Regions from separate parts of the Mus musculus genome. Here regions 2, 3, 4, 5 and 6 are each reported to be linked to region 1. The links are microRNA targets in miRTarBase. Many come from high-throughput screens and were not tested one by one. Region 1 holds a microRNA gene; each other region holds the end of a gene's coding sequence. Distances are between the middles of the regions.
What was found. The annotated mature microRNA mmu-miR-665-3p reads ACCAGGAGGCUGAGGUCCCU and lies in region 1 at 3,632-3,651, shown strand. An mRNA with a match to its seed (bases 2 to 7 or 8) in the 3' UTR can be bound and repressed. Matches are read on the target gene's strand: a 7mer-m8 pairs with bases 2 to 8, a 7mer-A1 pairs with bases 2 to 7 and ends in A, and an 8mer does both.

Region 1 (5,074 bases):
AATTCCCCCTCTGCCACCAGGTGTCACACCCATGCGTGTGTCATGCCGAGCCCCTTTTGTACCCATGTGCCACATGAAGCACTACCTTCCTGTGTGTCCTCCCCTGTGTCACTTTGAACCTCTCATCCCCATTTGTCATACCATGCTCCAGCCTATGTGCCTCAAACAGAAAAGATTCTCCATGCTTCTTACCATGAGCACAATCCACCTCTCCTGACACCTGGAGTCTTGCCTCCTTGTGTCTCTCTACTCCTGCCTCACATGCTCTTTTCCTGTGACACACTGAACCCCTTTCCTCTCACACAGACTCCCCTCGGTCACCTGTCACACCTTTCTCACAGAACCGTTCTCCTTCTGTTCATCACATGGGGTCATGCCACCTAGGTATCAAACTGGTCCTCACTGTGCTATCCTAAGTCTTTCCTTGGCCGTGTGTCCCACAGTTCCTCAATTCTCCTTTGTGTTAGGCTAAGTCCCTTTTCAACAGTGGCACTCAGAGTTATGAGCTCTCTACCCTCGCACAAGACATTTGTGTCTCTTTTCCAAGTGTTTCTCATCTAGACCCCATTACATGTCAAAACTTTCTACACCTATGTCACACACAGAGCCCCTCCCACCACCCATGAATCACAACAAGGGTCCTGAGTCACACTGCGTCTCATCTCTCCACGGGTATCACATTCAGCTCCACTCCCCTACCTGGGTCAGAGTAAGTTTCTCTTCCCTATCTTTACATGGTTTCCCACTACACCTGCTTTGTCTTGGACAGACCCCTCCCATCAGGCTGCACTTCCAAGACCCTCTGTGTTCATGTGTTAACATTTCTTATGTCTTATTGCTGGCCTCACACTGAGTCCTCTCCTCTTGTCATCCTGTGTTAGGGTTAGGCTATTGTCAGCCATGTGTCTTAAAGAGAAAATTCCATAATGGGGCACGCTTTGCCTAGCTCCACCCATATGTCCTGAAGAGCACCATTCCTCTACATGTGTCATGCTTAGCCTAACCCTTCCTACGTTCTGTATGCCCCCTCTCACACCTGTCGTGGTCACCTGAGTTCTACCCATGTGTCCTAGAGAGAGAACACCTCTCCCCACGTGTGTCATGCTTAGCCTAGCCCCACCCGTGTGCCCTGTGCACCCGAGCTTCATCCCACTTACTCCCCATTCACCTTAGGCCCCTCCCTGACTCTGAGCTCCTCCATCGTGAGAGGGCCCCTAAATCATGTGTCCCATAGCCCTCGTTCCTTTTAGTCACCACAAACCCTGCTGGTGCTCCAGATGCGGTACACGGAACTCTTCTCCTCTCGCTCTCTCTTCATGTTGGGAAGCCCCACCTCTGCACGCAGCACGTTGAGACATCCACCCCTTGCCTTGTGACATGGAGCGCTCTGCCTCTACACATACCACACTGTGACGTGCATGTCCTCCAGGTCACAAAGCAACTCATAGGTGTCACATCTAGTCCTTCTCCCCACTTGTGATGAACACTTTCCTTGACAGATGTCACACCGAGCCCCTATTTCCTCTATCAGAGCCCCTCCTCCTTATGTCCCACATGCAGCCCAGTCTCTTTCTCAGGAGTCATAGGCTCTCCTGTACAAGAGTCATACTGAGCCCCTCCTCTTTTTATGTGTCATGTTACCCCTCCTCTGCACATCACATTTACATTTTTTCTCCCCTGTACCATGGATTCTCTCCCCCATGTATAGCCTTGGACCACTCCCCATCCGCTAGATTTAATCCCTTAATCTCTCCATATGTTACTGACACCCCCCTGTGTAGGTAGGCATCATGGGATGTCCCTGTTCTTTTCTTTATGACATGAAGACCCCCTCTTTGCGTGGGATATCATATCCTTCATCTCTCCCTTGTGACATACGTCACCCTGAGACCCTCCTGCTTCCCGTGAGCCATGTCCCTATGCTCCCATACACATACATGTCCCTTTGCAACCCTCTTCTGCCCTGGATGATGTGCAGCTGTGTTCCACATGCTGCCCTGAGCCCCCCTTCTCTCTCTCCCCTGCCCCACTGACATCTGCAGCATCTTACCACAGCATTGAGCTGCCTTAACCCTTTGTCATTCACATGTCGTGTGCAGCTCCCTTCCTCCCTGGCTTAACACCGAGTCCTCCCTTCCCCACCTGTGTTCACCTGTCTTCTGGCCTCCCATCCTTACTACTCCCTCCCACCCCCATACTACCTCTTTATACCCTGCTCTCTGAGACTATGCTGGGACAAGTGTTTGTTGGCAGTTGGTGGGTGTGCCAGACAAGGAAGAGAAGAGCACAAGTCAGGAAAGATTTTTTTTTTTTACTTTATTCATATGTAAGGTGATACACATGTGCCATTCAAGCTGGCCATGGTGACAGAGGCCTGTCAATCATAGCCACACTTGGAAGCCTGAGGCAGGAAGATGGAGAAGTCGGGATCCACTCTGGATTACACAGATCCTGTTTCAAAAACAAACAAACAAACAAAAAAACTAACAGGCAAGCAAAAGCAGTTTGTGGTTTTTAGTTATTCATGGAGGAGTGTAACTCAAGTTGACACTCAAAGAACCTGGGGAGCGGTTGTTAGCTGTACCTGCAGTTTGTCCCCTCACCACACTGAGTAGCTTTTAACCCATGCATCTTTTTGGGGGATCCATCTGGGGCGTCTAAGCTCCTGCTGGTTCCCATGAGTCCCTTCTAGGTCTGCAGAGGAACCCACTGGATACTCGGGATGGACCTTAGCAGGACACTCCTGTGACCACAGTCACCCTTCCTTCCCTCTCCGCTTCCCCACCCCTCCTTCAGTGCTCCCTTGCCCCTCCTCTCTCCCTCCCATCCCTCTGCTCCCTCTCCCCCCTCCTCATCCCCTGGATTGGCTCCAGTCACTCCATGAGAGTTTATAAGAAGTGAGGTTGGGCAAGGAGGGTAGATGCTTCCACTGTGCTGCAGGTGCCCTAGGGCTGGCTGGCCTTTGGTTTCCTTCCTCTAACACTAAGCCCTGGGAGTCTGTCCTACCTGTTGTCTGTGCTTCTTGCCTTGCTTTTTCAGGAGAGGAGGGTCCCAGTGTAGTGAGAAGTTGGGGGGTGGGAACGGCGTCATGCAGGAGTTGATTGCACAGCCATTCAGCTCCTATATGATGCCTTTCTTCACCCCCTTCAACCGCGTGAGGCCTCCGGACCCTCCTCCGCGCACCTTGGGCCGCTTAGGGACGCGTCTTCAGCTCGCTCTTTTCCCCTGGCATGCTTTCTCGCCATTCTCCACAGTTCCTGGAGGGGAATACCCGGGGCTGGGCCATACCTGAGATCATTCCTTGGCGGGGGAGCTATACCCCTGGTGGGACATTCCCTGGGGCTGGGCCAAGGGTCACCCTCTGACTCTGTGGCCAAGGGTAGACAGGTCAGAGGTCGATCCTGGGCCTACTCTGGGGCTCCTCCCACTGGGATTCCAGGAGCCGTTCTCTCCTGGAGGTCCTCTGAGGGGACCCAGCTCCTAGCAGAAAGGGTGGATCCTTGAGAGATGGGGTCTTTGTTACTAGAGCAGGGCACAGGGCTGAGACAGGGCAGGGCTGAGCATTACCAGTGCTCCCAGAACAGGGTCTCCTTGAGGGGCCTCTGCCTCTATCCAGGATTATGTTTTTATGACCAGGAGGCTGAGGTCCCTTACAGGCGGCCTCTTACTCTCTCCTTGAGCCCTTCTGGAGACGTCTCACCTCATTCAGTTCAAACTCTGGATCCCCTAAGGAGTGCAGAAGATCCCTGTTCATCCTCCTCCCAGGCCGGGTGCCCACAGACACTTCAGTAGCACAATGAGCAGCTGGCGTAGAGTCTGAACCCCAATACCTAGGTCATTGCATGCATACAGGGCCCATCTCCATCCCCACAACACCACCATTATTAACTGCATTTACCAGCTATGGCAGCCAGCCCCGGCACACAGGAGCACCCTGAGTGAATAGCCTGGAAGCTGTGAAAGGATTTGAGGGCAGGACAGGGAGGACCCAGGCCACACCCAGTCCCCCTCCCCTTCACCACTGTCTCTCCCTTCCCTGTCCCCCCCTCTGCCCCCAATCTCCTTCTTCCTACTTGTGCTCCTGCACGGTCTTGGTGGCAAGATGGTCATGCGTGTCTCTCAGCTCACACAGGTGGATCAAAGTCCAGATGAGGTTTGCTGCTCAGGTCTCAGATCGTGTCTAACGATGTGGTCCCCTGGGCCCAGCACCAGGGCTTAAGGTGTATGGGACAGTTGAGGGGTGGGTAATATTTTCTTTTCCTTTTCTTACTATGGGGGTAGCCCAAGTTAGCCCAGGTTACCCAGGCATGTGGAGATCTCTGCTCCAGCCTGGTGAGGAGCTGGTAAAACTCTGGACTCAGGGTCCTGTGTGTGTGCTGTCACTGGCTCTGGTACCTGCAGGGACATCTTATAAGGGGAAGCAATGGAGAGGACAGGGAAGGTGGGCAAGGGAGGGCCCCTGCTCCTCTTTGTTCCTGGATGCTGTCAGAGCTCTCTGGTTGGGGACTGAAGCTGGGAAGTGGGGGCAGCTCCTTGGTGGGTGGAGTCTGCAGCCAGGGCCTGGCCTCTGGTTTTCACCTTGACAGGGTTGGAAGTGATGTTATCATCCCCTAGCAGGAACTTTCACACCAATTTCTTTCTTTTCTTTTCTCTTCCCCAGGAGAAAAAAAAAGGTTTGTGTTGTGTTTTTCAATCTCTATAAGTGGCTCCGCCGATAACCTGATAACCTACCGTTTTAGCACGTTTTAGCACGTCACCAGCTCTCTTCACAGTCCGGACCACCTCCTTTTGCTGTTAATGGGGACAAATCCCTGCTGGGTAGATTGGTAGGCCTGCGGGCCTTTATTGTCCTTTATGGTCTGTGTTCGTGCGGGCTGTGGGTAAACGCACCTCTGCAGTCAACATCACTGGCAGCCTCTTGGCGGGCTGCTGGCTCACTGAGTTCTCCTTCACTCTCACTTGCTTGGGGCCCTCAGGGCCTTGGGGCCCCTGGCAGTAGTCCTGACCTAAGTCATCTCTGCATTCACTGGGCCAGAGAAGTCCTCACCAAGCAGGGACAGGATTGTTTTGTTTT
Region 2 (5,074 bases), not on the chromosome of region 1:
AGCCCTGGCTGTCCTGGAACTCACTTTGTAGACCAGGCTGGCCTCGAACTCAGAAATCCACCTGCCTCTGCTTCCTAGGTGCTGGGATTAAAGGTGTGCGCCACCAATAGACTCTTTACAAATAAGTAACCAACTGTGCAGGCTAATTCTATGTCAACTTGACACAGACTAGTATTATCTGAGAAGAATCTCAAGTGAGAAAACGGCTCTGTATGATTGGGCTGTAGGCAGGCCCAGCCCATTGTGATTATGCCATCCCTAGGCTGGTGGTCCTGGGTTCCATAAGAAAGAAGGCAGAAAGCCGGGCATGGTGGCACATACCTTTAATCCCAGCACTCAGGAGGCAGAAGCAGGTGGATTTCTGAGTTCAAGGCCAGCCTGGTCTACAAAGTGAGTTCCAGGACAGCCAGGGCTATACAGAAAAACCAAAAAAAAAAAAAAAAAAAAAAAAAGAAAGAAGGCAGAGCAAGCCAGTAAACAGCATCTCTCCAGTCTCTATATTAGCTTCTGCCTCCAGGTTCCTGCTGTTTGAGTTCCCAGCCTAATTCCCTTCAGGGATGGACAGTAAGTGTGAAGCATAAACCAAATGAACCCTTTTCTTCCCCCAATTTGCTCTTGGCTGTGGTTTCATCATAGCAGTAGTAACCCAAACTAAGACACTTAACTGAGCAGGATTCCATAGGGTGTAATCATAGGGCACGGCCTTTGGGGAACTAGCTGCTCTGGCAGAGATTATTGTGCAGCTTGCTACTCAGAAATGTTGGGCTAGGATCCCAGGCCCTGGACTGAGAAACCTCTTACTCAGGCTAACATTATGCATGCACAAGTCTTCTGATCTATGTCTACCCTAGAGTCTCACTCTGGAGCACTGAAGGTATGTGGGGCCCATTCAATTTGTGTATGTGTGCCTACGTGTTCATAGTGCACACATATGTGCCTGTGCACACATGTGGAGGCCAGAGGTTGATGGTGGGTGTTTTGTTAGAGACAAGGTCTCTCTTCATTGCTTTGGCTGCCCTGGAACTCACTCTGTAGACCAAGCTGGCCTTCAACTCACCGAGACTCCATAGTGAGACCACTTCAAAACCCCAAACCTTATGATCTTCCTATCTCTACCTCACGAGAGCCAAGATTACAGATATGAGCCTCCAAAACCCAGCCTTGCAATGTTGACTAAAAACCTTAGTTCTAGGCTCAGGTCTCTTTCCATCTGCTAAACTTGTCTCAACTACCCAGCTGGCTATCCAGTTGCTCAGGAAGCCAGAAACTACCCACCTTACCTTTCTCAAACCCTTTGTTGGTGAATCCTCCCCTGGGCTTTGTTGAAGTATTCAACACATCTATCCCTCTCTTGTCCCAACCTCCTGATCCTGCTAATGTCACCTACTCTGATACTCACATTCTCCTCCCACTCCACAGATGGCTCACCTCTTGGCCATTCCCCAATGCAGATTCCCTACAGCAGACAGCATTGTCTTTCAAAAATACACACCTGCTCATCTTATTAACCAGCATTAAATCTTGGCTCTAGACAGCAAATGTGTGGCTCAGTGAGGTTTCTTAGCTTTTCTTCTTCAGGGCCAAAGATTTCCATTTCCAGTATCTAACACACCACCCAGTACAGAACAGACGCTGGGTGTAGTGCCCATATTCTGCCAGATACTACTCAGATGCTAACAGCAAGGCAGGGACTTCAGGCCTACTCACCAAACCTGAGTGCCAATGCAACCTCTACATCCTTGGCCTGGGAGAGACACCTTGCCTTTCGGTTAACCTCAATCTCCTCAACTGTTAAGTTAGAATACTGCCTTGAGGGGATGGAGAAATGGCCCGGTGGTTAAGAGCACTGGCTGCTTTTGCAAGAGACCTGGGTTTGATTCCCTGTACCCATGTGAGATCTTACAACTGTCTGTAAACCCAGTTCCAGGGGATCTGATACACCCCAATGGCCTCCATGGGCACCAGGCACACAAGTAGTGCAGTTATACATAGAGGCAAAAAAAATCCCAACCAGCTTTGAGTGACACAGTGCAGCTCAAGGGCTCAGTATAGGGCAGGGCACAGTGAAGCTCTCACGGAGATGGCAGTCTTACCACAGCCACCCTCACCCCCATAATCAATTACCACCCATATAAACCAAGGGTAGAACTCAGGATCTGGTATTAAAACTCCAAGAAGTAAATGATAAAATGAAATCGTGAAGGGACAGGGACACGGCTCCACAGAGTAGGGACAACCATGCTGCAGACCCGTGACTCACCTTCAGGAAACAACGGTGTGTACCACTAAGGAAGAGCTGGCAGGCTGCGTCACCAAGCTCCCTTCCTCCCTTATGTACATGGACTCACTCCACCACATTACCCTGCGCGGCTTAGGGTGTCACTTCAAGTGTGACAGGAAAGCTAAGGCCCTATGTGTGACAAAGGCTTACCAGAGCTTCAAATCATCCAGCAAACAAGGGCTCCAGTGACCCATCCAGAGAGCCTAGAAATCCCCACAGGACTACACAGCCTTCCACACGAAGAGATCTTATTTAATACAAAGCCATAAAGAATCCACTACGTGAGCTGGAGAGGTGGCTCCTCCTAGAGGATCTCCGCCTCCCCGCCAGCACCCACTTCCCAGACTCACAACGGCCTGAAGCTTTAGTTCTGCAGGATCTGACCCCTCTCCTGGACCCTGAAAGCACACACATACACATAAGTAAAATAAAAATAGATCTTTATATGTAAAAAAAAACAAAAAACAAACCCACCAGTTTTCTATTATAAAAATCCATAAAAAGAATCGTATGAACTAAGAGGCTGCATTTGCAAGGTGAAAGGCTGAAAAGGCTGAAAGACGATTAAAACTATACAAATTCTTTTTAAACTAAGTGGAACCTAAATTAAGTAAACACTGTTAGTCAGTGCTATGTAACGTGGCTATAAAATTCAGCAAGCAACCACAAAATTCTTTCCTTCTCTGTTTCTACTTCTCTGACCCAGAGCTTTTTCTATGCACTCAGATTGGTCTTAAACTTTTGATCTCCCTGCCTTGGCCTCCAGAGTCCTGAGATTACAGACCATTATGCTGAGCTCCAATCAGGACTTGTCTGAAAGTGAAAAGATACTGCTATTTACTTTAGAACAAAAAATCCCATAAAATTAAAAGAACCATGCTGGGCGTGGTGGCGCAACACCTTTGATCCCAGCACTCGGGAGGCAGAGGCAGGGGGATTTCTGAGTTTGAGGCCAGCGTGGTCTACAGAGTGAGTTCCAGGACAGCCAGGGCCATACAGAGAAACCCTGTCTCGAAAAACCAAAAAAAATAAAAAAAATAAAAGAACTAGGCACAGTGGTGAACACACACCTGTAGTCCCAGCTACTCTCGGGCCTGAGGAAGAAGTCATCTGAGCCCAAGTGTTTGAGGCCAGCCCTGGCAACTCAATTCCTTTACCCTACTCCCCACCAAAAGGAGACATATCTATGACATGTGTCCCATAGAGAAGGTAGTGTGGGACACTGTTTTCCCTGGTGTGCCTTGCTTCCTCAAAGTCAAGGCTGACTGGCACAAGCACCCTGTGACATGTGGTTAGCACTCTAAAGAAGTAAACAGTTATGGTTCATGACTTTGTATTCCATTCCTTCTACCCTCCCCCACCCCACTGCTGGAGACTGTACCTAGTGGTTTATGCATGCTAGGTAAGTGTTCTAGCGCTGGGCTTTACCCCTGGCCCTCTTTTTATGTTAGGACAGGGTCTCACTGACCTAGAATTAATTCTGTAGTCCAGGCAGACTTTACATCTATAACCTGTTTCAGCCTCCCAAGTATCTGGGATTACAGGTCTGAGCCACCTGCCTGACCTAGAGGTGGGTTTAACATGAAAGCTCTCCTCTTCCATGAGACACTTAACCACACAGTGACCAAAATAGCTGAGATGAAATTTCAATGGGTATTAAGCCTCTGGCCAAGCCCCTCTCCCCAGTGATTCTAGCTTCTGCAGGTGAGAAGCTGGAAGAACTGTGGGTTGGTCTACTGCATGTGTCTCCCTGGGATTGCTAATTTTCTGGAGGATTCTGGGCCAGGTGCTGTTCCCATTCAACTTCAACCAACTTGTACAGCTCCATTGTGGCCTGGGCATCTTCCACCGAGGAATGTCCAGTATTTCCAACCTAAAGGAAAAGAACATGAAGACGAGAACTGTTGCTTTTCCCAGACAACTGGACTCCCTGCATCCCGCTAGTTGTCTATACTTTCTCTTCTATAGTTTATGAGTTGTAGTCACAAGTCTACTAGGGCCCTCCTCCCTAGCACATTTCAGTTTCAACTCCCAGAAGGCCTGCTCATTTGAGTGACGATGCATATGTATCTTACTATTAAGCTCTGCAGAGGCAGGACATTTCAGGTCAAACAGACTGTCTGGGTCTTCTTTCTTAAATGTTCTCTGTGTGACATGTACCCAGAGCTCCATATTCTGTGGCCATGTCCTTGACTGCTGAGCATGTGAAATGCTGAGTGCTCTTCTTTCCCACTGTACCATCTGGCACGGTCTATAAAGCACCCAGGATTTATTATTTCTCCTTGCAGACAGGGCTACCGGGTCACCTTTGGTGGGGGCACTTAGAGAGAAGTTACCTGGATGTCCCGACTCAGGAGCTTCTTGGTGAGATGCTTCAGTGACAAAGTGACATTTTCTGGGCAGTCAGCCTTCCGGTTGAGGAGTGGTATCCGGGAAGTGTCTCTGGTGAGGGACTTGGGATGAAAGTACTGTAGGGCTTTGTAGTCATTGTGAATGGCATGCCCTATCACTACCTTCCCTGAGAGTATCTTCAAGATCTAGAATGGGCACATAAGGAGGTAATGAGAAGCCATACTCAAAGGTGGAGCTCCTTAGATTGTGAAGGCCCAATATGGCCATCACCAACATACCACCCCATCACCTCCACCCTCACCCCATTCTTGAAATGCCCCCTTCCACAACTGTTCCTCCTTCAGAACTCCAGCTCTCCCTTCCCTAGAGAACTGCTATGCAATCCTGTTTGGATCTACATCACCAGAGGTCCCTTACATGTTTAGTAACTTCCATCCCAAC
Region 3 (5,074 bases), 65 Mb from region 1:
ACTCCCACTACCGTTTGTTTATGCTTTCCCTTCGAGCTCTAAGTGAGGACTTGCACCCATGCAGGAAGCTGACTGATTATAGCTGTCTTGAAACACGAGGCTCCAGGCCCCACACAGCGGGACTCAAACCTGGCTTGTGTTTGTCCCTAGCAAGCGCTCGGATTGTTTTGTTTTGTTTTTGTTTTGTTACTAGGACACACAGGATTAAACTAGAAAGGCATATTAGACACGATCTGCCCCATCATTGTCTGACTGAGGAGACAGATGTGGAGTGAATGACGAGAGGAGGCGTTCCTGCACACACACTGCTGACTGATGGTGGGGTTGGAATATGAATCCTTCTTCTCTCTTACACTGATCTTTCCACCCCACTGAGCCACTATTCAGTACAAATACTGCAGTGATATTCTCTGCTTTTCTCTCCCCGTCTCCTAAGTGGAATCATATGAGCTGAGGGTAGTATTTAAACTACTTTTGTGTGTGTTCTAGTCAATAATAAAATGTCAAACCACTGGTGGCAGACAAAAATAGCATCATTAAAGAAAGGAAGTGAGGCCATTTTAAGGACTCCCTTCCTTTATCCTCTCTCTCTCTCTCTCTCTCTCTCTCTCACACACACACACACACACACACACACACACACACACACGCACCTATACCTGACAAACATGGCCACTGGACTGGAGGCAACTCTTCCCTGACACACCTAGGCTCAATCAAGAGAAAAAACTATGCAAAAGGTTCACACAGTCATGCAGTCGCTGGGGAGAGCTGCAATCTCATTTCCCTAGTACGAACAGGCGATCATTTTCTGCACCATCGGGTCATCATTTAATTATCCAAAACCGATCCAGCCAGGGTCATTAGCCTGCTTTCTCTAGCAAGTTTCTTCGACGCAGGATAAAGCACAGGCGCCCTCTGGTGGTCAGCTGCGGAAACATCTCAAGCGGAAGTGACTCATTTTGTGACTGAAAATCCCTGAGTTCTTAGACTCCCCTTACCTCGAAAGTCCTTAAAACCCAATGAAGAAGATGGTTTATAAAGGTTTATAACTACAAGATTTTTTCTGAGGTCATGCTTAAAGTTTCAAAGTTCCTGTTGCCACGGAGCCGTGTCATGATGTAGAGTGAGGCTAAGGTTTGTTAATTTGGCCCACAGTGAGGACAGAAGGGAGGGTCCGAGAAAGCAGCCAACATGTCCTCTGTGAGAGGAATTCTGAGCTCTCTCTCTATGGCATCTCCGATTCACTTTCATAGCATGCTGTCTAAATAACTCTGAGAGCACAAGGCAGGTAGTTCTCCTGGATGCACTGCTGGGACCAGGGGTCAGTGACCAAGGGGCAAGTGGTGGAATGTGGATAATTGCTAGGCTTGGATGGAGACAGAAGAATGAAGGTGGAGAAAAGGAAGCAGATGACATATTTGTAATATGTATGAGTGTTCAAACTCTCATCATGTAGCCATGTTAAGAAATATAAATTGACCATGGCTGAGTAGCGAGGAGGTCCCACTGGTTGTATGGACAGGGCACCAGCAGTTGGTCTATTGTGAGACTCGACAAAGGAACCAGATTTGTTCACCTGTTTTCAAAGGACTCTTGCTATCTATTCCTGCGTAACTAGCCCTAACCTTTGATTTAAAAGTTCCTGATTTCACCGGGCGGTGGTGGCTCACGCCTTTCCCAGCACTTGGGAGGCAGAGGCAGGCAGATTTCTGAGTTCCAGGCCAGCCTGGTCTGCAGAATGAGTTCCAGGACAGCCAAGACTACACAGAGAAACCCTGTCTCGGAAAAAAAAAAATAATTCCTGATTCTAATTCTTATTTTTACGTTGGCGATAAAATCCAAAGTCTTTTAAAAACGAAACAAAATTGTCAGAATTTGTTCAAAAATCTTTGGAAGTACAGGTTTGAAGAAGCTGAAACTGAGGAGAGCTGGGCTGTTTACCAGTCCCTTTTCAGATGGAAGTCCAGAAGCATTGTGCTGCCGGGTACACCTGCTACACACCCACCCTCCCCCCACCCCCCCCCCCAGGAACATGACTAAGTACAAGGAGTGGGGGGGGGGGCTTTAAAACCACACTCAATTTTTCATTTTTAATAGAAAATCTGTAGTTATCTACAGGCGTGACTTCTTCATGCACAGAGAAATTTAGCATCCATAGTTATAGATGAGCAGAGACTTCACATTTGTCTTTCACTGAAGGCATTGATGACTTGAAAGGAACTTTTGTCTTTGTGCTTTGTTATGTTGAGGCAAGCCTGTGTGTTATTTTGTATTTTCAATCGATAGGCTAGTTTGTGGAGAGTGAATATGAAAAGATGAGAGTATTTAGGGCCACTTCATTTGGGGAATCACTTTAAAACAAGCTTTACCTGTACACATCAAAGGTGTCAGGTGGCAAACCCTAATGTACTCCATTGGCAAAACACTGAGGCTTTCAGCCAGCAACAGGCTGAAGAAAGGGGTGGGGGGCACGGAGTTCACTATTTCAGTTTCACAAACAAAAATAGAGTGGGGAAAAAAATTAAATCCGAAACACCACGAAAGACATTTGGATGTTTCCTCGTCCCACATACTTACTACATTCATCAACTAGCCTGCTTCTCACACAGGAGAACATAAACATTGATTGCATGTTTATTTGCACGTAATACCTATGAGCATATAGCTTCTACACTCTAAGTATATTTACAAATTCAACAGAATACCTACATATAAAAGGCTTTACTTAAAATTAAACTTGATGCAAGTTATGAGAAACCAATTTATTGGCAAATGAAACTGAGCATCCCTTCAACCATAGGTGGTCATAGGTTTCTATATTGGAGGTAAGCCATTTCACACACATTGTTTATGGCTATGATAGGATATAGTATTGTTCTTTAGACTCGAGGTGTAATCTCTTTGACTGCTGGCCTAATTAAGCACTGGTCAGGTTTCTCAGGTTCTGGAGTGTGCCTGTTGCAATTTGCATACACGTTGCTGAATGCTGCGGAATTTGAAAGCTTGTCTAGGCAGAGTGAATCATTTAGTACTTTAGGCATGCTGTTGTACGCTTTTACTTCTGCAATCATTGGGTTTTCTATCCATTTCCAACCATACCATTTTTTCCTTTTTTCAACTTGACTTGTTTGGCTAGAAACCACAAAAGACAACAAAACCATCCTGTACACCCGACAATGACAGAGCTTTGGAGGCCTGATATTTGTGTGGGGAACACCACTTCAAATAAAGTTGTTCCTATGCTCCCAGTTTCAGTTCGAATTATCTCTGCCTTGGAAAAGTTCCTTTCCAACAACAGTAGCGTAGGATGAAGTTGCCCACACTGGCTGATACAGAGTACAGGAGTCAGGGAATGCTAATTGTCTGAAGGCACTGCGTGTGTCTTGCCCTGCATTTTCTGAACTAAAATTTAAAATTTCACTTGAGAGCTTTGACTTCAATTCTTTGAGTAGGGCACAAATGCCAGCAGGTGTCACAATACGCAATGTTTATGCCCCCCAAAGGACTGAACGCAGATAGTATAGTAAGTGGGACTCTGCTGCTGTGACACCCGGAAGGATAAAAAGCCTAGGAAGGTCCGGGAGCAAAGAACAGGTTTCAGAGTCTCAGCGAGCATTAGTGGATGCAACTGTCATAAGTAACTCATGTAGCAAGTATATACTGTACACACTGTTCCTAATAGTCTCTCAAAAAGACTAACACCAGCTAGACATAGTCACGAGTTTAACAACAATGTCCACAGAGACATTGAAGCTCTAGAGAACACTACAGCAACACTCTTCACAATGACAACGGAATTCATATTTAGGGATCAGCTGAGGATAGTGCCAACAAAGTACCCAACCACATCGCAGTCACATACACAGGTGTGTCCTCTGTGCAGCATGTCTCATGCATCGTATTGAACTGGATCCCGCACAGGGAATAATGTAATCTATTGATGATGTTGTATTTCTTTTTAATCAGTTCCAAGGAAATTGAGAAAAACCCCACTCTGAACAAAAACGTATGCACTTTGCACCCCAGTTCATATTAATGTATCATTTGACTGAGTCATGTTCTTGCTCTGGTCTCATAATACTCATATACCGCAGAAAACATTCTTTCTACCCATATGTCCGTAGTATGAGAGGGATGACAGGTGTTCAGGAAAACCATTCCAGAGAGATTAGACATTGGCACAGAGCTTAAAGACTTAAACAAAGGAGTTCATTGCGTTGACAGGAGAAGGGGCCTCTGAGCTTTCATTTCCCTCTGCTGGCTCTTTCTCTTTCTTACCACTGTATTGGCCAATAAAGGAGCCATCCTCGTTGAATTGGCCGTTCACCCCCTCTCCATAGTCAACCAGACTATCATCGCTATCTTCTTTTTTCACAGTCCTGTCTGAAGGTGTTCGACTTCCTTTTTTCAAAGGCTTGTGATCTTCTGCATCACTGGGGGACAGGAAATAAAAATTTTGGTAAGACAAGCATTTAAGTAAAGCGCCTTGTTTTTTGCAGATCATGCATGCAAATTATGAAAAAGCATATGGAGGCCTGAGCTCCTGCAGCCAAAGATAACTAACTGCCAGTTGGACTCCAGGGACTAGGGTGGTACTGGAATGGAAGTCAGGCGCAGAAGTGGTTGGATCATGTCTGCAGCAGAGCAGGTGACTTTCTGATTGTACATGCTAATTTAAATGAAAGAGTCTGATGCCTGATTGGAAGGCAATTTGGAAAGATGAAAAGCATTACCGGGGCATGGCAGGGGGTTAAGGATAGCTCAAATCAACACTATCTCGATTCAAAGGAGCAGTGCAGAGCTCAGGACAGTCAGAGTTAGTGTGTTAAACTGTGTGATTTCTCTGATTCCTTGGATGTGAATGGAGCATGATTGTGGTTACATGTGATACATGGATTGTTTTTCCTCACGCAGTAGGAGAAGCAAAATCTTGCAGTTTGAATAATTTTGTTACTGAATGCAGGCCAGATTTGTGAACTTCTGCCTTACCTTTCAAAAGACCTAGAAATCCATTAAAAGGAGGCAGAGGAAACAAATGAGAACAGCCTAAGAAGAAAAGCACAGTCCTTAC
Region 4 (5,074 bases), not on the chromosome of region 1:
AGGCGCATTATTCCCAGGAATACGTCTTCCCTCCTTGTGTTGAGATAGGGACGTGTCCTCAGTGGACACTGTTCTTTGTAAAGTGTCTTCTTGCTGTTATCAGGGGAAAATACTTCTGACAGCTCTGCCATTTTCTTACGCCTCCCCTTAGCAAGTGAGGAAATCAGAGTTGTTTCTGTAGCTGTTCAATTTACGGTGAGGTCCCCTAGTAAGACCCAGTATAAGGTGACAATATTGAAAGCCAATTTGCTTAATTCCAGCACACAGGAAGAGGAGGCAGGGAAGTAGCATCATCTCCATAGCCAGTCCTAGGACAGCCAAGGCTATAGACCCTGTTGGGAAAAAAGATGTCTGCCATTTGCCTGGCTCAGTTTGACTTTTTATTCCCTCTCACAAGATAGTTTTGCCCTTTGCTGCTCTACAGGAGGCTAAAGATCACGTCTCTCTCTCCATCTCTCCAGCAGAAACCAGTGACAGCTATCATGTCATTCTCAAGTAGGGTGAGGCCCCGACCTTCGACGGCTGCTGCTGCCTTCCCCTCTTCACCTTCTGAAGGGGACATGACTGGAGATTAAAGGGCTTCAGGAACCTGGCACATCTGAATGTTGGGGGGAGGGGGGAGGCGTGTCCAGTGCAGGGCGAGCAGGTCCCAAGGAGGAATCCCAGAGTCCTGTATTGGCTCCTCTGATCACTGGCTATACATGGAGCCAGCAGTTTCCTTACTTTCTGGCCCCTGTTGATACCAGTAAGAAGCCCCGTCATTAGGGTTTGTAGAGGGCAGAGTGGTAATGGGAGTCATGTGATGTTTTCTAGGAAGATGTTTAGTTTTGTGATATAGAGCTCTGACATTTTACTGATATAAAAGTGAACATCTGTCTTCATAAAACCAAGCTCTCTCTCTTGCCTCAAGCCTGTTGGCAGCTCTGCTCTGCTCTGTTCACAACTGTGAGGAGGAGAAACAGAATCTCTCCTTCCCTTTTTTGAGACAGGGTTTCATGTTCTTGCCTCTACCTCCCAAGAGCTGGGATCACAAGCTTTTGCCACCTGGTCTGTTTCTGTCTGCAGTGCTGGGCTTGAACTCGGAGCCTCACGTGCTAGGCAGGCACTTTCTCCAGCTGAGCTCCAGCAGGCCTTCCCTTTAGTGCTAAGACAGGCTCCAGATTTCTAATTTGGTTCACCTGCAATACCACAGCTGAGTGTGATTTTGGCTAATGTGTATTGGGGTAGACCGAATGATAAATCCCACGGACGGATAATCTTCTTTTATCCCCTTAATAAACCCAAAACATCTGGGGACACAGTGACTTGAGGGTGAGGAGACGCAGATGAAGTGGAGGGGCTTCTGACAACACCAGATGCCACCCTTTGCTGCCAGTGCTCACCACTGGGTCTTTCTGGGGCTCTGCTGGAAACTGACGGACTTCCCACTGAAGGAGGCAACCATACCTTACCACTGTAGCGATAATGAAGCCCCAGACAGACAGACACCCAATGTCACACTAACCTCAGCCCAGAGCTAGAGGTGAGAGAGACAAGCGTGTCTGACCCCAGGCTTCGTTGTTCGTGAATGATATTCTCAAAACTGTTTAAGTAAATGAGCTATTCCGCCCTGCTCTCCCCTCCCCTGTCTTGTTTTGGCATAGTGTGGTGTTTTTTTTTTTTTTTTTGTTCTTTTTTTAAAATGTAAGCTTTATTAAAAAAAGAAAAATACATTCTTTTCCTATTCAAACTCACACTGTGTTTATGTTCTGCCTTTCAAATGGCTGTGTGTCTGTGTGCATGTACAGAATTGTAAAGCACTTAGGCCCTCCTTTTTCACATGAAGTTTGTTTTAGCTTGGTTTTCCAAGAAAACGTTTCTCTGTGGAGCCCCGGCTGTCCTGGAACTCACTCTGTAGACCAGGCTGGCCTCAAACTCAGAAATCCACCTTCCAAGTGCTGGGAATATAGGTGTGTGCCACTAGCTTAGTCAGGCCACATGTAAAGTTTTACCAGAAATTCCCTTAAATTTTGTTGAGATGAACAAAGATAATGTTAAAGATTCTGTATTAAATTTGAATTTATGTGTGTTTTTGAAGTATTTAATAAAGCTTAGATTTTTTTATAGAGAGTTTTTGGTTCTTGTTGCTGTTGTCCATTAAAACCAACCTGTAATGTGGTTTCTAATTTCTTTTGGTCTGAAACAAGTTTAAAACCTTGAAACCTGAAAATTCCTCACAGTGGTGCAAAATCAGCTTGACATATTAGGCCGAGCACTCCCTCACCCAACATCCCATTTTGAGGTGACATTTCTAGTTTCGTCACGTTCCAAGGACTGGTTCCCAGTCATTGCAGTTGCTGCCTCTATCCTTGGCAAGTCACTGTTGGCTGCCGTCCCCTTCCCCTGTCCCAGTGGCAAATGGGAGAGGTAAACTAGGAAGGCAGCCTGTGTTGTGAGACCTCCTACTCTGGCTGGCTTAGCACTTGTTACACAGCTCAGGCTGGTTCTGAACTCACGCCTCAGCCTCACACGTGCAGAGAGGAAAGATATCGACACCATGCCTAGACTTGGACTTGCTTCCAAATACATGAATCTCTGAGGCACAAATGATGCATATAATTCTATTAGTATATTGGCTATAAATTACATGACTTAGGGGGCCAGAGAGATGGCTCAGTGGTTAAGAGGACCTGGGTTCAACTCCCAGCACCCACATGGTGGCTCACAGTCATCTATAACTCCAGTTCTAGGGGACCTGATCCTGTCTCCTATCCCCAAGGGGACCAGGCACATGTGGTATATAGATATACACCCATACACATAAAAGAGTAAAAAGTTAAAAAACCTAGATGTCCTAATTTTTACCTGAAATTACTTTTTATTAGAGTAGCCTTCAAAATCACAGAAGTGAATTTATATACCATTATAGTTTTAGATTTTGTTTGGTTTTGTTGTTGTTGTTTGAAATAGGGTTTCCTGGCTACCCTGGAACGTGATTTGTAGGCCAGACTCACCTTGAACTCATAGATCCACCTGCCTCTGCCTCTTGAGTGCTGGGATTAAAAGCATGTGCCACCACTGCCTGGCTTTTTTTTTTTTTTTTGTTTTAAAGGCTAGGCTAGCCTGAGCTTCCAATAGTAGACTGGGATGGCCTGGAACTTGCATTGACCTTTCTGTCTCTTCTGCCCAAATCCTAGGGTTAATTACACCTGACTCAGATCTTTAGAGTCACCAGAAACTTCCCCTAGGCTTTATTTGAGTCCCCCTTTCTAGGTGTTTACTATGACTGTTATCTTAGTGACAGGACATTGTGATTATTTACAAAATGTTTCATTATTGACCTTTTCAGTTAAATGAAAAAGTTAAATTGACATTGTGAAGATAACATTTAAAATTATCACATATAAATAATAAAGGATATAACTTTTTTTTCTCTTTAGTCTTAAAGAGGTGGTCATTGATTGGGGGACTTAATCCCACATTCTCAACATTCAGGAAATCGAGGCAGGAGCCTGCGTGATAGAGACTCTTAATTTTGCTTTTTGTTTTTTTTCATTGCCATGAGAAAACACCATGAGCAAGACAACTTATAAAAGAAAGTCTTTAATTTAGAGGCTCACGATTCCAGAGGATTAGCGTCCATGATTGTCATGTCAGAGAGCATGTAGCAGGAGGCAGGCAGACATGGGGTTGGAGCCATAGTTGAGAGTGGGAAGCAGAGAAAGAGGGGCAAGCTAGAGCACACTAACTGGAAATACTATGGGTTTTTGAAACCTCAGCCCACCCCTAGTGACACAGGTCCTGTAACAAGGTCCTAATCTTTCCCAAAGTGTTCACCAACTGGGGACCAAACATCAAACATACAAACCCATGAAGACCATTCTCATTCAAACTGCCACAGAGACCCTCTTTCAAAATTAAAAAAATAATAAGAAGAAAAATTTCTTCAACATATTTATGCACATACGTAAGTCTCAGTAATTATAATAGTACATGATTTTGTCGTAGTATTTAACATATTTTGAGCATCTTTCTATACTCATTCTACATTATTGTTTTGTAAAGTAGGTTCTGTGCTCCCAAGCATCTGTCATCTCAGCCCTTTTTCCTTCTAAATAAACTGTGTCTGTTTCTGCGTGTGGTATGTATGTGGTATGTGCGTGTGGTATGTGCACGCATATCCCTTTCCCCCTCAGAATGTTAAGTTAAACTCATTTGGAAAGATTTCCTTTCTATGCTTTTGCACAGAATACTCAAATATTCTAGAAGCAAGATGTGACGATGGCTGGACATGAAATGGGAAATCCTGTCACCTCTGGGCTCAATCCTGAGCACCACATGAATTCAGGCAGGCATGCCTGTAATCCTAGCACTTGGAGGTAGGAGGGTGAGAGAAGTTCAGTAGAAGGTAGAAATAGAAGGTAGAAGAATACAGCCACTTTTGGAGGCCATCCTTTGCCCCAGGGAGACCCTGCTTCAAAAAACAAAACAAAACAACAAAAGCCGATGGGATTTTATGCTTTTGTGACCAATGATTTATATTTATATTAAATAGTTTAACATTCCCATTCATAAGAGGCTATATGACAAGCAGAATAGGGAGAATTTAGAGCTTTCAGAAAAATGATAATTCTATCCTATTTGATTTAGTGTTCTCTCTCTCTCTCTCTCTCTTTTTCTTGAAATGAGATTCCTAGTACCAACTTCTATCTTAGTTTGGGTTTTACTGCCAAGAACAGACACCATGACCAAGGCAACTCTTATAAGGACAACATTTAGTTGGGGCTGGCTTACAGGTTCAGAGGTTCAGTCCATTATCATTGGGGGCGGGGCGGTGGGGGGGGAGACCATGGCAGTGTTCAGGCAGGCATGGTGCAGGAGGAGCTGAGAGTTCTACATCTTCATCTGAAGGCTGCTAAAGAACATTGGCTTGCAGGCAGCTAGGACAAGGGTCTTAAAGCCCACACCTACAGTGACACACTTACTCCAACAAGGCCACACCCCCTAATAGGGTCACTCCCTGGACCAAGAATATTCCAACCACTGAAAGAAAATAAAACTTGAGACCTGTGATTCATGTAATTTATGTCAAGTA
Region 5 (5,074 bases), not on the chromosome of region 1:
CCAAGTATTCTTGTACTGGATGCTAAGAAGACTGAACTGGTAGAGGAGGGAGAGGGCACAGTAGCCTATTCCAACTTCGGGCAGGGCCATCTCCTGCCAGTTTGTAGAGATGTCTGCTAAGGAAGTGAGACAAAAGAACCCTCCGTTGGCCATAGTGTTAGCCTCTCTCTATGTCACATGGACCTCTGTATGAGACATACGTAACTACTGCCAAGGCTCAGACACAGCTCGCAGCCAAACAGAGCTGGGATACGGGCACGGGAAGGAGGAAAGTACTCGAGGAAGGGTAAACTCTGATGCTCAGAACTGATCAGAACCAGTCTTCTACTCCAGATCAGCTCGGTGATGCCAGTGGGTAGTGATGCTCATCTCTGGGCTTAATGAATAGACTCCAAGTCCTCAGAGGTCTATGCCACCATGGCCGTCTCTGCCTCTAGCACACCCTCCCAGTCAGCCAGGTAGGTAGCAAGGCAAGCCTTTCACGCCAAACTCAAGATCCTTGTATATCTAGGCTCTGGCCATGTATGGTCACTCCATTTTGCCATGCCGCAGAGAAGTTAATCGGCAAGAGAAAACTAGGTAGGAAAGCGCTACGAAAGCACCACACAGACAGACGGCCCAGCCTCTCGTTCCTCACGTGCACACACTCGCTCTGGTCCACAGTACAGAGCCTCAAGCTCTCCACTGGAAATAAACCTCTCTCCCATCTTCTTAACTCTACCCCCACCATAATCAAAAGCTCTTAAAGGGAGCAGTCAATAGTTCATAATCCTCATGGTGGTTAAGAGGAGGTTATAAACACACACACACACACACACACACACACACACACACACACACCAGATTTGCATCTCTATTTATCTATCTTGAACTCTCATAAACTAGAACATGTGGTCTCTAGAAAAATCAAAGGGGAAACACACACAGGACTCAAAGAGTAGAGGGAGATACACACATAAATACAGTCAGTCAGTCATATATAGAACTAAAGAGCTTTGAAATATGGTATTTATGCTCCATCATCTCCCCTTAGTTTCCTTCAAGCTCTTTATTATGAAAGATACTGCAATATCCCTCACCTGCTGTTTTAAAAATAATTGTGTCCCTAAGTTGGGGCTGCTTACCTGCAAACTCTTGAGTGTTTACCCTAATTCCCTCACAACCTGCCCTGGGAAGCAAGAAACCAAGGCAGGGGTCAGGGGTGTGCTTCCAAAAACAACTTGTCTGAGGCCCGATGCTTCTTTGTGTAACTTCCTAGGAAGGAGTATTTCCCACACATACAGGACTCTAGAAAGCATTCCAGACACTGAGCCACAGGTAGCACCACCTGCCTAGAGAGTTCAGCACATCCCCAGTCAAAGGAAAGGGTGATTCTTTAGCCCAATTAGGCGATTCAAAGCTCTACCTTTCCTCACAGTCGCCCAGAGCCATACACCAAGACCCATACTGTGCGCAATGGTCTTCACCTTGACTCAAGTCAGGAAACCACACGAAATATTTGAAAAAGGAAGCAAAGGGAAGGGACACAGGAGGGGACTTCCTGTCCCAATATACCCAGCACAGCCCGATCAAACCACTCGAGGGGCCCTTTCCCCTTGGAACCTAGTTGTCCCATAAGAGCACAGGCACTGTGATCACAGATTCAGAAAGGGTCAGATTAGGGATAAAACAAACTATGCTCCCAACACATAATCCAAGATTGAGGATGCTTCGGTGGAGTACCTGAAAGGACTCGGCTGGGGATAGACAAGGGCCATTCCCCTGCCGATGGACTTTCGGCGGTCCATCTCCTCCTGCGACCCCTGTTTCATATGTAAATAACTCCAACCCAGTCTTTACTACTCCCACGACTTCTCCAGTGTGTTCACCTCTTCCCGGCAAAATTCATCTAACTGACCCTGGGCCCTCACCCCACGCCACCCAGACGGCGGCGCCCGCTGTCCCAGCAGTGTTCCGCCTCCTGCCCTGCGGCTCCCGCCCCCGCCCCGCCTCTCCGCTCCGGGACCCGCTCCTCAGTGATCGGGCTCCCAGGCATGACCCCTTACCCGTGTGGAGCCGATGTCCATCATCACCTCCTCGAAGGCCGCCGTCTCCTCGGCCTGACGCTGCTTCTGCAGCGCAATCTTCTCACTAAACTTGCGTGGATTGGACGCTGAGGCTGTGGCGGAACCCGGCCCGTTCGCCCCTGACGTCGCCATCTTACCCCCGCGTCCGTCCCCGCCACCTTCCCAGTTCCAGCCACGGCCTCTGCCGCGGGCCCGGCCCGGCTCCTTCAGCCTTAGCAGCAGCCGCCGCCGCCTCCGCGAGCCCGGCGGCTCGGCCCCAGCCTACTCCAGACTCCGGACGCACCGCCTTCTGGGACTTGTAGTTTGTTTACGGGCTTCCTCTACGCCCTCAGACACGCAGGGAGGGCAGGAAGCGGACATCACTTCCCAGCAGTCGTGTGACCCCGGGAGGCAGGCACGCACGCCACCCCTCACCTACTCCCGGCGCACAGCAAGCCGGGAAAGGTAGTTCTACAACAGTCCCGAGCCTACGAACGGGAAAGGGAGAGGGATTCCCCAAGGAAGCTGAAGAAAAAACGAGGAAGGGAAGGGGTGGAGACAGAAAGGAAGAGAAAAAAGAGAAATTTGGTCATCCTCAGGAAAGGTGAGAAGTGGGGTGAGTGAAAACAAGGATCTTAAATCAACTGTATGCAACTGAGATTCATATCCTCTACGACTGGCCATCACACACACACACACACACACACACACACACACACACGACTGGCCATCACACATACACACACACGACTGGCCATCTCTCTCTCTCTCTCTCACACACACACACACACACACACACACACACACACACACACAGACCATCTCTCTCTCTCTCTCTCTCTCACACACACACACACACACAGACCATCTCTTCTCTCTCTCTCTCTCTCACACACACACACACACACACACACACACACACACACAGAATCAGATACCATAGAAGTGTATAGAAACATCTTTTATTTGGGTAACATATCCCAAAACAGGTCAGTTAGTAAAATAGATTCTACAGAGTACAGACCTATGCACAGCCCTCCCTCCCCAAAAATAATCCTGGGGGAGGGAGTCTGTCTCCCTCCACCCCGGACTCCTCAGATATAAAGTTTTGGCAGGTTATTGGTTTTTTTCTAGGTATGGACCACCATGTCCACTTTCTGTAGTGTCTGGTGTCAGTACCTACTTTTCTCTCACTCCAGACCAGTTCAGCAAATATTTCTTCCCCACCCCAAACTATGGGGCCTAAATAAAAGAGCAAATAGGTCTCCACTGAGGTGCTAGGCAGGCCCCAGCACCTCAGCACTGTGCTTTCAAAAAGGGGGCAGGTGAGCAATACATGTGCTACACACCTTTAATCCCAGTGCTCAGGAGGCAGAGGCAGACTGAGCTCTGAGTTTGAGGCCAGGACAACCAGGGTTATACAGAGAAACCCTGTCAAAAAAAAAAAAAAAAAAAAAAAAAAAAAAAAGCAAACAAACCTAAAGGGTGGGTGGGTGGGTATTTGGCACTTTAACAACAGACTAGTGAGCTAGGCAGTGGTGGCATGGCACCCCTTTAGTCCCAGCATTAAGGAGGCAGAGGCAGAGACAGGTGGAGCTCTGTAAACTCAAGCCCAGCCTGGTTTACAAGAGTGAGTTCCAGGACAGCCAAGGCTACACAGAGCAACCCAAAAAGGTGAGGACAGGAGAGGCCAGATAAATTACGAAAACTGGCAGAGAGACCATTTGGCACTAGTCCCTTAGTGGAAGACAAGAGAGAAATATAAGAGTAGGAGGGAAGAAAGGAGGAGGAACCATTTCAGCCATCAGAGTGGTGAGATGGGCTAGAACCAACAGGATACTGGCTTTGACTTACAGCCTCTGTATCTTTATCGCAAAGAGGCTGGATGCCTAACTCTCAGTTCTTCTGTCAGCTTGTCTCTGAGATGTACTGCCTGGCCTCTGACTGTAGCAGTCTGCCTCCTTCTAATGTCCCTGACCACGTCTGTAGTAACTTCGCTATCTCTTATTCTTTGGGTCTGGGGCTAGCCTCTTCTCTGCCCACTTCCATCTCATTATTCATAGTCCAAATGTCCCATCCCTATATCTAAGAGAACTCTTTGGTCCTCACTACTTCCCTTCTCCACTTCTTTCTATTTCCCACCAATTGAGAAGGGTAGGGAGGGAGGACAGGGGCACCTGATAGCCAACCTCCCCTGCCCTTTCTCTTGAAGCACCTTAGATTTGGACAAAGAGAAGGCCAGTGAGCAGGGCAAAGCCTGCTAGGAGCAGAATGACCTTGAGGATCCTCTGCTCAGAAGTGGCCAGTTCCTGGGGTAGAATTTCCAGGAAGGTGATATAGAGGAAGGTGCCAGCTGCCATGCCCTCTAGAACAGATTGGGCCAGCTGGTGCAGAGGCCCAGCTGACTCTGCCAGAGCTGCACCCAACCCGATGCCCAGAGGTGTCATACATGAGAAGAGGATCCCGCAGCCAGCCACCACCTGCACACGTAGGTGGCTCTGTAGCAGCCGCAGGGACAGGCTGACTGCCAGAATGCCTTTGTGAAGCAGCAGAGCTAGGCACAGCTCCATTGCCCGAGCCCTGTCTCGCTGCAACCCTACAGCCAGGCCCTCAAATACTGAGTGCAAGGCTAAGGAGAAGACCAGGACACAAGCACGCAGGGCTGAGGGAGCTGCTGGAGTTCCGCCGGCCTGGGGGATCCCTGGTCCATCGTGCCAGTGCTGAGGCCCACCATTCACTGTGCCCAGTAGAGCCCTTGTCTCTTCCGGGTGGGGTGGACTGGTCTGTTCCTTGTAAGCCAGCGTGATCTGCTCCATCACCAGGACCAGGAAGAAACCCATGGCCAAGATGAACTCTTGCAAGGGGAACTGAAGCTGTGAACAGAGGTGGCAACAAGAGTTCAGGAAATCAGAAGAAATCAGATGCAAAGCCTGGTAGAGGCTCTGTTATACACATCTGACGTCCCACACAGACAAGCCCCCTGTGGTCACACCATGATGAAGTCCGTTGGCGGCACAACCACAGAACAA
Region 6 (5,074 bases), not on the chromosome of region 1:
TAGCCATAGTGAGATCATGGGTCTCTGCAGTTCTCTCTCTAGGCTGTTACCCCAAGATGCTGCAAAGCCTGCTGCAGCAATTGGATCTGAAAGTAGCACTGCTCAAATGGAAATTAATGAAGGATATTTGAAGGGTGATGACTCTGAATGCACTCGCAAGAGCTCAGGTGTGTTTCAAGGTACTTTAGTGTCTGTGAGATCTAAGTGCGTAGAACTTCTTTACACAGCATTAGCTAGTTCTTGCACAGATCACACAGAAGTGCACATATGGCAGAACTTAGCAAGAGAAATTGAAGAGCACATTTTTACCCTTCATTCAAACAATATCAAAAAATATAAAACTAGTATTCGAAGCAAAGTTGCCAATTTGAAAAACCCCAGAAATTTTCATTTACAACAAAACTTCCTCTCTGGAACCATGTCTGCAAGGGAGTTTGCTGAAATGAGTGTCTTGGACATGGCAAGCCAGGAACTCAAGCAACTGAGAGCTTCCTACACAGAATCCAGCATTCAAGAACATTGCCTTCCCCAATCAGTTGATGGCACATGGACAAATAAAATTAAGTGTAGGCGCTGTGATAAATACAACTGCAAGGTCACTGTGATTGCCAGAGGAACACTTTTCCTTCCAAGTTGGGTGCAGAATTCAAACCCAGATGAACAAATGACCTATGTCATTTGTAATGAATGTGGGGAGCAGTGGTACCATAACAACTGGGTATGCTTGTGATTTGTAAATAATCCTTTTAAGGGCATATGTTTTATATGTATAACCTAACCTTTTGTGCTTGGTTTTTGGTTGTTGTTGTTTTGTTTTTAGTTTGTTTTTTTTTTCTTTTCTTTTTTTGTTTTCCTTCGAGACAGGGTTTCTCTGTTTAGCCCTGGCTGTCCTGGAGACCAGGCTGGCCTCGAACTGAGAAATCCACCTGCTTCTGCCTCCCAAGTGCTGGGACTAAAGGTGTCCGCCACCACTGCCCGGCTTGTGCTCTTTTTTTTTTTTTTTAACAAAATCTTAATCTTATTTTTGCCTTTGGGTTTTAGTTCATGAAAGATGTCATTATATAGCCAAAGGTGGCCCAGTCTCATGAGTGCTTGCATTATAGGCGCACCTGGCTTTATATACTGCTCTTACTACAACCCTAAGACTAAGGAAAGAGAGTTATTTGCCAGAGTGTAGGCCATAGAAAGCTATCACACTACTTTGTGGCCACTTAGTGCTTTACTCAGAGTGGCACTGTAGCTCCACACTACCTGAGAGCATGTTAGAGATGAAACTCTTGCTCCTTAAGTCCTGATCTGCATTTTAACAGAGTCCCCAGGTTATCCTCTGGGGTATTTTGAGAATCACTGACATACATAGCATTAGGCCTGAAGTTCTCAGGAATGACTATATATTAGAATTTTCTGGAGAACATTGAAATGTACTGGTGCCAAGGGCCAAGCCTATACAGTTCAATATGAACCTATGGCCTGGACCCAGTAATCAACACTGCTCTGGTCATTTCTTGGTTCCTGTTAAGTTGCAGTTAGAGTTAGGAACTACCTGTAGATAGTCTCTCATTTGAGCCTTTCTATAGTTCTGAAGAAATTAATGTTATTCTGGAGTTTACAGATGAGGAAAGCAGCCCACTTGCCCAGGTTACACAACTGTATGTAGTCGGCTTCACACTGATCCCAGGTTTTCCAGCTTACTTCTCAAGCAGGTGTGATGGCACATGCCTGTGGTCCAAATACTAGGGAGAATGAGGCAGGGGATTTATGTGAGTTCCGGCCAGTTTGACTTGCAAAGTTCCTGTCTCAAAACTGTTAAAAGGGAATCCTGTTTCAAGCCTGTAATCATAGCGTTGGGAATGCTAAGGCAGAATCCCATAGTTGAGGGCAGCCTGAGTTAGATAGAGAAACACTGCCAAACTCAAAAATATTCAGTCTGAGGATGACTTAATATTGACTTTGTAAGAAGTATACTCTTGGAAATAGGTGCTAAGCAAATAGTGTTTGGGACCTCTAAGCTTATGTGACCGGAGTTTTACTCTTTTGTCCTTAATTTTCTCATTTTCTTTTGACTGGTGAAAAGTTGCAGTGTAAGTTAGAATTTGGCTCGAAGCCTGCTTCCTTAGTTGAATGCCCTGTGTTTTGTTTTTTTTTTTTTTTTTGAGCACTTCAAAAAGTATGATATATAGTTCCTTAATGTTAGGACTCTATATACCTTCAGAGGCATGTGTGTTGGGATTGAAATTCAAATTCTGATCATGTGAAAATGGCACTAGTTGTTAGAGGAAGTCTCTCCTTCAATCTCAGCATTTACTTACATACTAACTGAAGAGAAAATCACGTCTCCTAGTTCTTTGTAAACAGTGTTTACTGATTTGTATGCTTATTCACAAGCCTTTTTATGTGACCATGACTAATTTTTTTCCTTAAAAATAATAAAATGATTGTCTTTCTGGGTTTTGATTTTTTTTTACCATGTAAAACAATTTTATACATAATCAACACAAAACCTTGCATATATGTGCTCCTTTTACAGTTAATCAGGTGATTAGATATACATTTTCTCTTTTGTTGTTTGACAACAATATGTGAAGAGTTTCTATTTTTATAAGACTAGCTTCACTCTGTTGCCTAAGCTGGGTTCAAACTCACACTGGCTGGCCTTAACCTCCAGAGTGCTATGATTGGCAGTGTAAGCCACCATTCATTGATTTTATCATATTAAAGAGTTTTTATCTTAGTTCCATATGAACTCATATTTTAACTAGTTATTATCCCCTAACTCCCCAGTATTCCTTCATTGGGATCTGTAGGCTTTTCTTTATATTTTTACCTCCGTATGACAGTTCCCCAATAGTTGCATAAAACTAGCAAACATTTCTGTTTTAGGTTTTTTGAAGAAATCAACTTGAAGCTGTCAAGTCTGAGTTATATTTTGTTATATTTTCTCCATATGGCATTCCAGGGTGGTTCACCATGGTGCAATGTGTTAGTCCTTTACAGAGTGACTTACAGAGTCATCAACAACTCAAAGCTTTCCCAAAATGTGGTTTCATGTGACTTGGAATGATCTTAAAACCTAGACAGTGGTTGTGCAAGAGCAGCACACACAGCCTATAAAAACCTTGTTTCATTTGTCTAAATCAGTTTGATGTTTGGATTTTCTATGTAACTATGTATTGTTTTTTATATTGCGATTTTGTAAGCTACATTTACCAAAAATAAAAGTATTTGAAATGTAAAAATCTCTTATTCTCCAATATTTTTTTAATTGTATGAGATCTTCCTTATTTCCCATAAGCTCTGTCAGTTAGTTTTGCAACAAGAGATAGGGAAATGGTGATGTAGGTTTCATTCTTTTGGTCAGTGAGACAGTTACATTTTCTAAATATAGACAATGATTTTACACTGTGTCTTATCCCCTAAAAAGAGAAAGAAGTTTCCCCCTCACTCTTTTATTCCCTAAAAGAGAGAAAATAGTTTCTCTTTTCTTCTCCTCTACTCTCCCTCTCCTCTCCCTCTCCTCTCCCTCTTTCTCTCCCTCTCCTCTCCCCCTCTCTCCCCCTCCCTCTCCTCTCCCTCTCTCCCTCTCTCTCCCCCTCTCTCTCCCTCTCTCTCTCCCTCTCCTCTCCCTCTCCTTCTCTCTCTCCCTCTCCTCTCCCTCTCTCTCTCCCCCCTCTCTCCCTCTTTCTCTCCCTCTCCTCTCCCTCCCTCTCTCCCTCTTTCTCTCCCTCTCTCTCTCCCTCTCCTCTCCCTCTCCTCTCCTTCTCTCTCTCCCTTTCCTCTCCCTCTCTCTCTCTCTCCCTCTTCCTCTCCCTCTCTCTCTCCCTCTCCTCTCCTCCTCCCTCTCTCCCCCTCCCTCTCCCTCCCTCTCTCCCTCTCTCCCCCTCTCTCCCTCTCCCTCTCTCTCTCCCCCTTTCTCTCCCACTCCCCCTCTCTCCCCCCTCCCTCTCCCCCCTCCCCCTTCCCCTCCCCCTCTCCTCTTCTTCTTTTTGTTGTTGTTGCAGGGTTTCTCTATATAGTCCTGGTTTCCTGGAACTCACTCTGTAAATGAAGCAGGCTAGCCTCAATCTCAGAGATCTCTCTGGCTCTGCCTCCCAAGTGCTAGGATTAAAGCTGTATGCCATCATTGCCCAGCCAAAGGAGTTTTGTTTTGTTTTGTTTTTTGTTTTTTTTTGTTTTTGTTTTTGTTTTTTACAATTGCTGATGGGGCAGATTCTAATTTAAAATGGCCCTTATAGGAGCAAAGAGCAATTCTGAGGACTCCAAGATTCCGGGAAGGTGCCTGCTAATAAGGAACAGCTGATGTGAATGAGACATGATGTAAAGGACTCCACAGAGTTCCTGAGGTCCATTGTAAGTCATGATAACAATAAGGACTTGGAGGCTTTGGGGGTCTAGGGTGGTTTGTGTTTAAAAAAAATTATTGAACTTAGGTGATTTGTAGTCATGGGATTTGAGTGCCTTTTAGGAAGACCATTGTAGCTGCTTTGTTGAGTGATGAGAGAAACAAGGATGGATGCAGGAACACCAAATAAGTGACCATTAACAATGGTCAAATTAAAGTATAGAAAAAAATAAGCCAGGCGGTGGTGGTGCATGCCTTTAATCCCAGCACTCAGGAGGCAGAGGCAGGCGGATTTCTGAGTTCGAGGCCAGCCTGGTCTACAGAATGAGTTCCAGGACAGCCAGGGCTACACAGAGAAATCCTGTCTCGAGAGAGAGAGAGAGAGAGAGAGAGAGAGAGAGAAATAAAAAAAGGAAAAATATACTTTGGCTGCATCCTGATGGTTAATGGACCCCTTTGCAGTTTTGCAAATGTCTGTTTCATAGAATATGCCCAATCCAAAATTTCCTCCCTGTGGCCAATCATCAGATAAATAACAGTGCAGAATGTGAGCACTAAATACATATAGCCTGTACCCCAGTCTCCATGGTAACGGCATAGGGTGGGAAATCCATTTTAATAGCTGAATGTGGGAAGGTTTCCTCCTTTGTTCGTACAACTTTTTAAAGTGAAGGCTTGAGTACAATCGTGGCTCTGTCTCTTCCCCGGTTAGGTTAGTTCCTGTGATGAGAGGCT

Region 2: miRTarBase lists Isg20l2 as a target of mmu-miR-665-3p. Seed matches in the 3' UTR shown: 7mer-A1 at 3,257-3,263.
Region 3: miRTarBase lists Nrcam as a target of mmu-miR-665-3p. Seed matches in the 3' UTR shown: 7mer-A1 at 1,748-1,754.
Region 4: miRTarBase lists Tfcp2 as a target of mmu-miR-665-3p. Seed matches in the 3' UTR shown: 7mer-A1 at 1,878-1,884.
Region 5: miRTarBase lists Slc39a1 as a target of mmu-miR-665-3p. Seed matches in the 3' UTR shown: 7mer-A1 at 3,682-3,688.
Region 6: the mRNA of Tceanc is a reported target of mmu-miR-665-3p. Seed matches in the 3' UTR shown: 7mer-A1 at 889-895.

What each region holds. Positions count from the first base shown.
Region 1 is chr12:109,582,737-109,587,810 of GRCm38, forward strand. It overlaps Mir665 (microRNA 665), which reads left to right and starts at 3,578; the gene lies at 3,578-3,671. It overlaps Mir337 (microRNA 337), which reads left to right and starts at 3,053; the gene lies at 3,053-3,149. Mir3544 (microRNA 3544) reads right to left here and starts at 3,137; the gene lies at 3,077-3,137. It overlaps Mir540 (microRNA 540), which reads left to right and starts at 3,344; the gene lies at 3,344-3,410. It also overlaps a transcript of Rtl1 not described here.
Region 2 is chr3:87,938,318-87,943,391 of GRCm38, reverse strand. Isg20l2 (interferon stimulated exonuclease gene 20-like 2) reads right to left here. Exons shown (of 4, transcript NM_177663.4): 3 at 4,618-4,818; 4 at 2,706-4,154. The coding sequence ends at 4,041. Among named protein-coding and RNA genes, the nearest start is that of Crabp2, 7.8 kb to the left of the region's middle.
Region 3 is chr12:44,597,712-44,602,785 of GRCm38, reverse strand. Nrcam (neuronal cell adhesion molecule) reads right to left here. Exons shown (of 31, transcript NM_176930.4): 31 at 940-4,436. The coding sequence ends at 4,199. Among named protein-coding and RNA genes, the nearest start is that of Nrcam, 270 kb to the right of the region's middle.
Region 4 is chr15:100,499,831-100,504,904 of GRCm38, reverse strand. Tfcp2 (transcription factor CP2) reads left to right here. Exons shown (of 16, transcript NM_033476.3): 16 at 462-2,157. The coding sequence ends at 499. Among named protein-coding and RNA genes, the nearest start is that of Csrnp2, 7.1 kb to the right of the region's middle.
Region 5 is chr3:90,251,530-90,256,603 of GRCm38, reverse strand. It overlaps Slc39a1 (solute carrier family 39 (zinc transporter), member 1), which reads right to left. Exons shown (of 4, transcript NM_013901.2): 4 at 2,992-4,918. The coding sequence ends at 4,262. It overlaps Crtc2 (CREB regulated transcription coactivator 2), which reads right to left and starts at 2,746. Exons shown (of 14, transcript NM_028881.3): 1 at 2,046-2,746. The coding sequence starts at 2,198.
Region 6 is chrX:166,497,974-166,503,047 of GRCm38, reverse strand. It overlaps Tceanc (transcription elongation factor A (SII) N-terminal and central domain containing), which reads left to right. Exons shown (of 5, transcript NM_001007577.2): 5 at 1-3,236. The coding sequence ends at 730. Among named protein-coding and RNA genes, the nearest start is that of Tceanc, 10 kb to the left of the region's middle.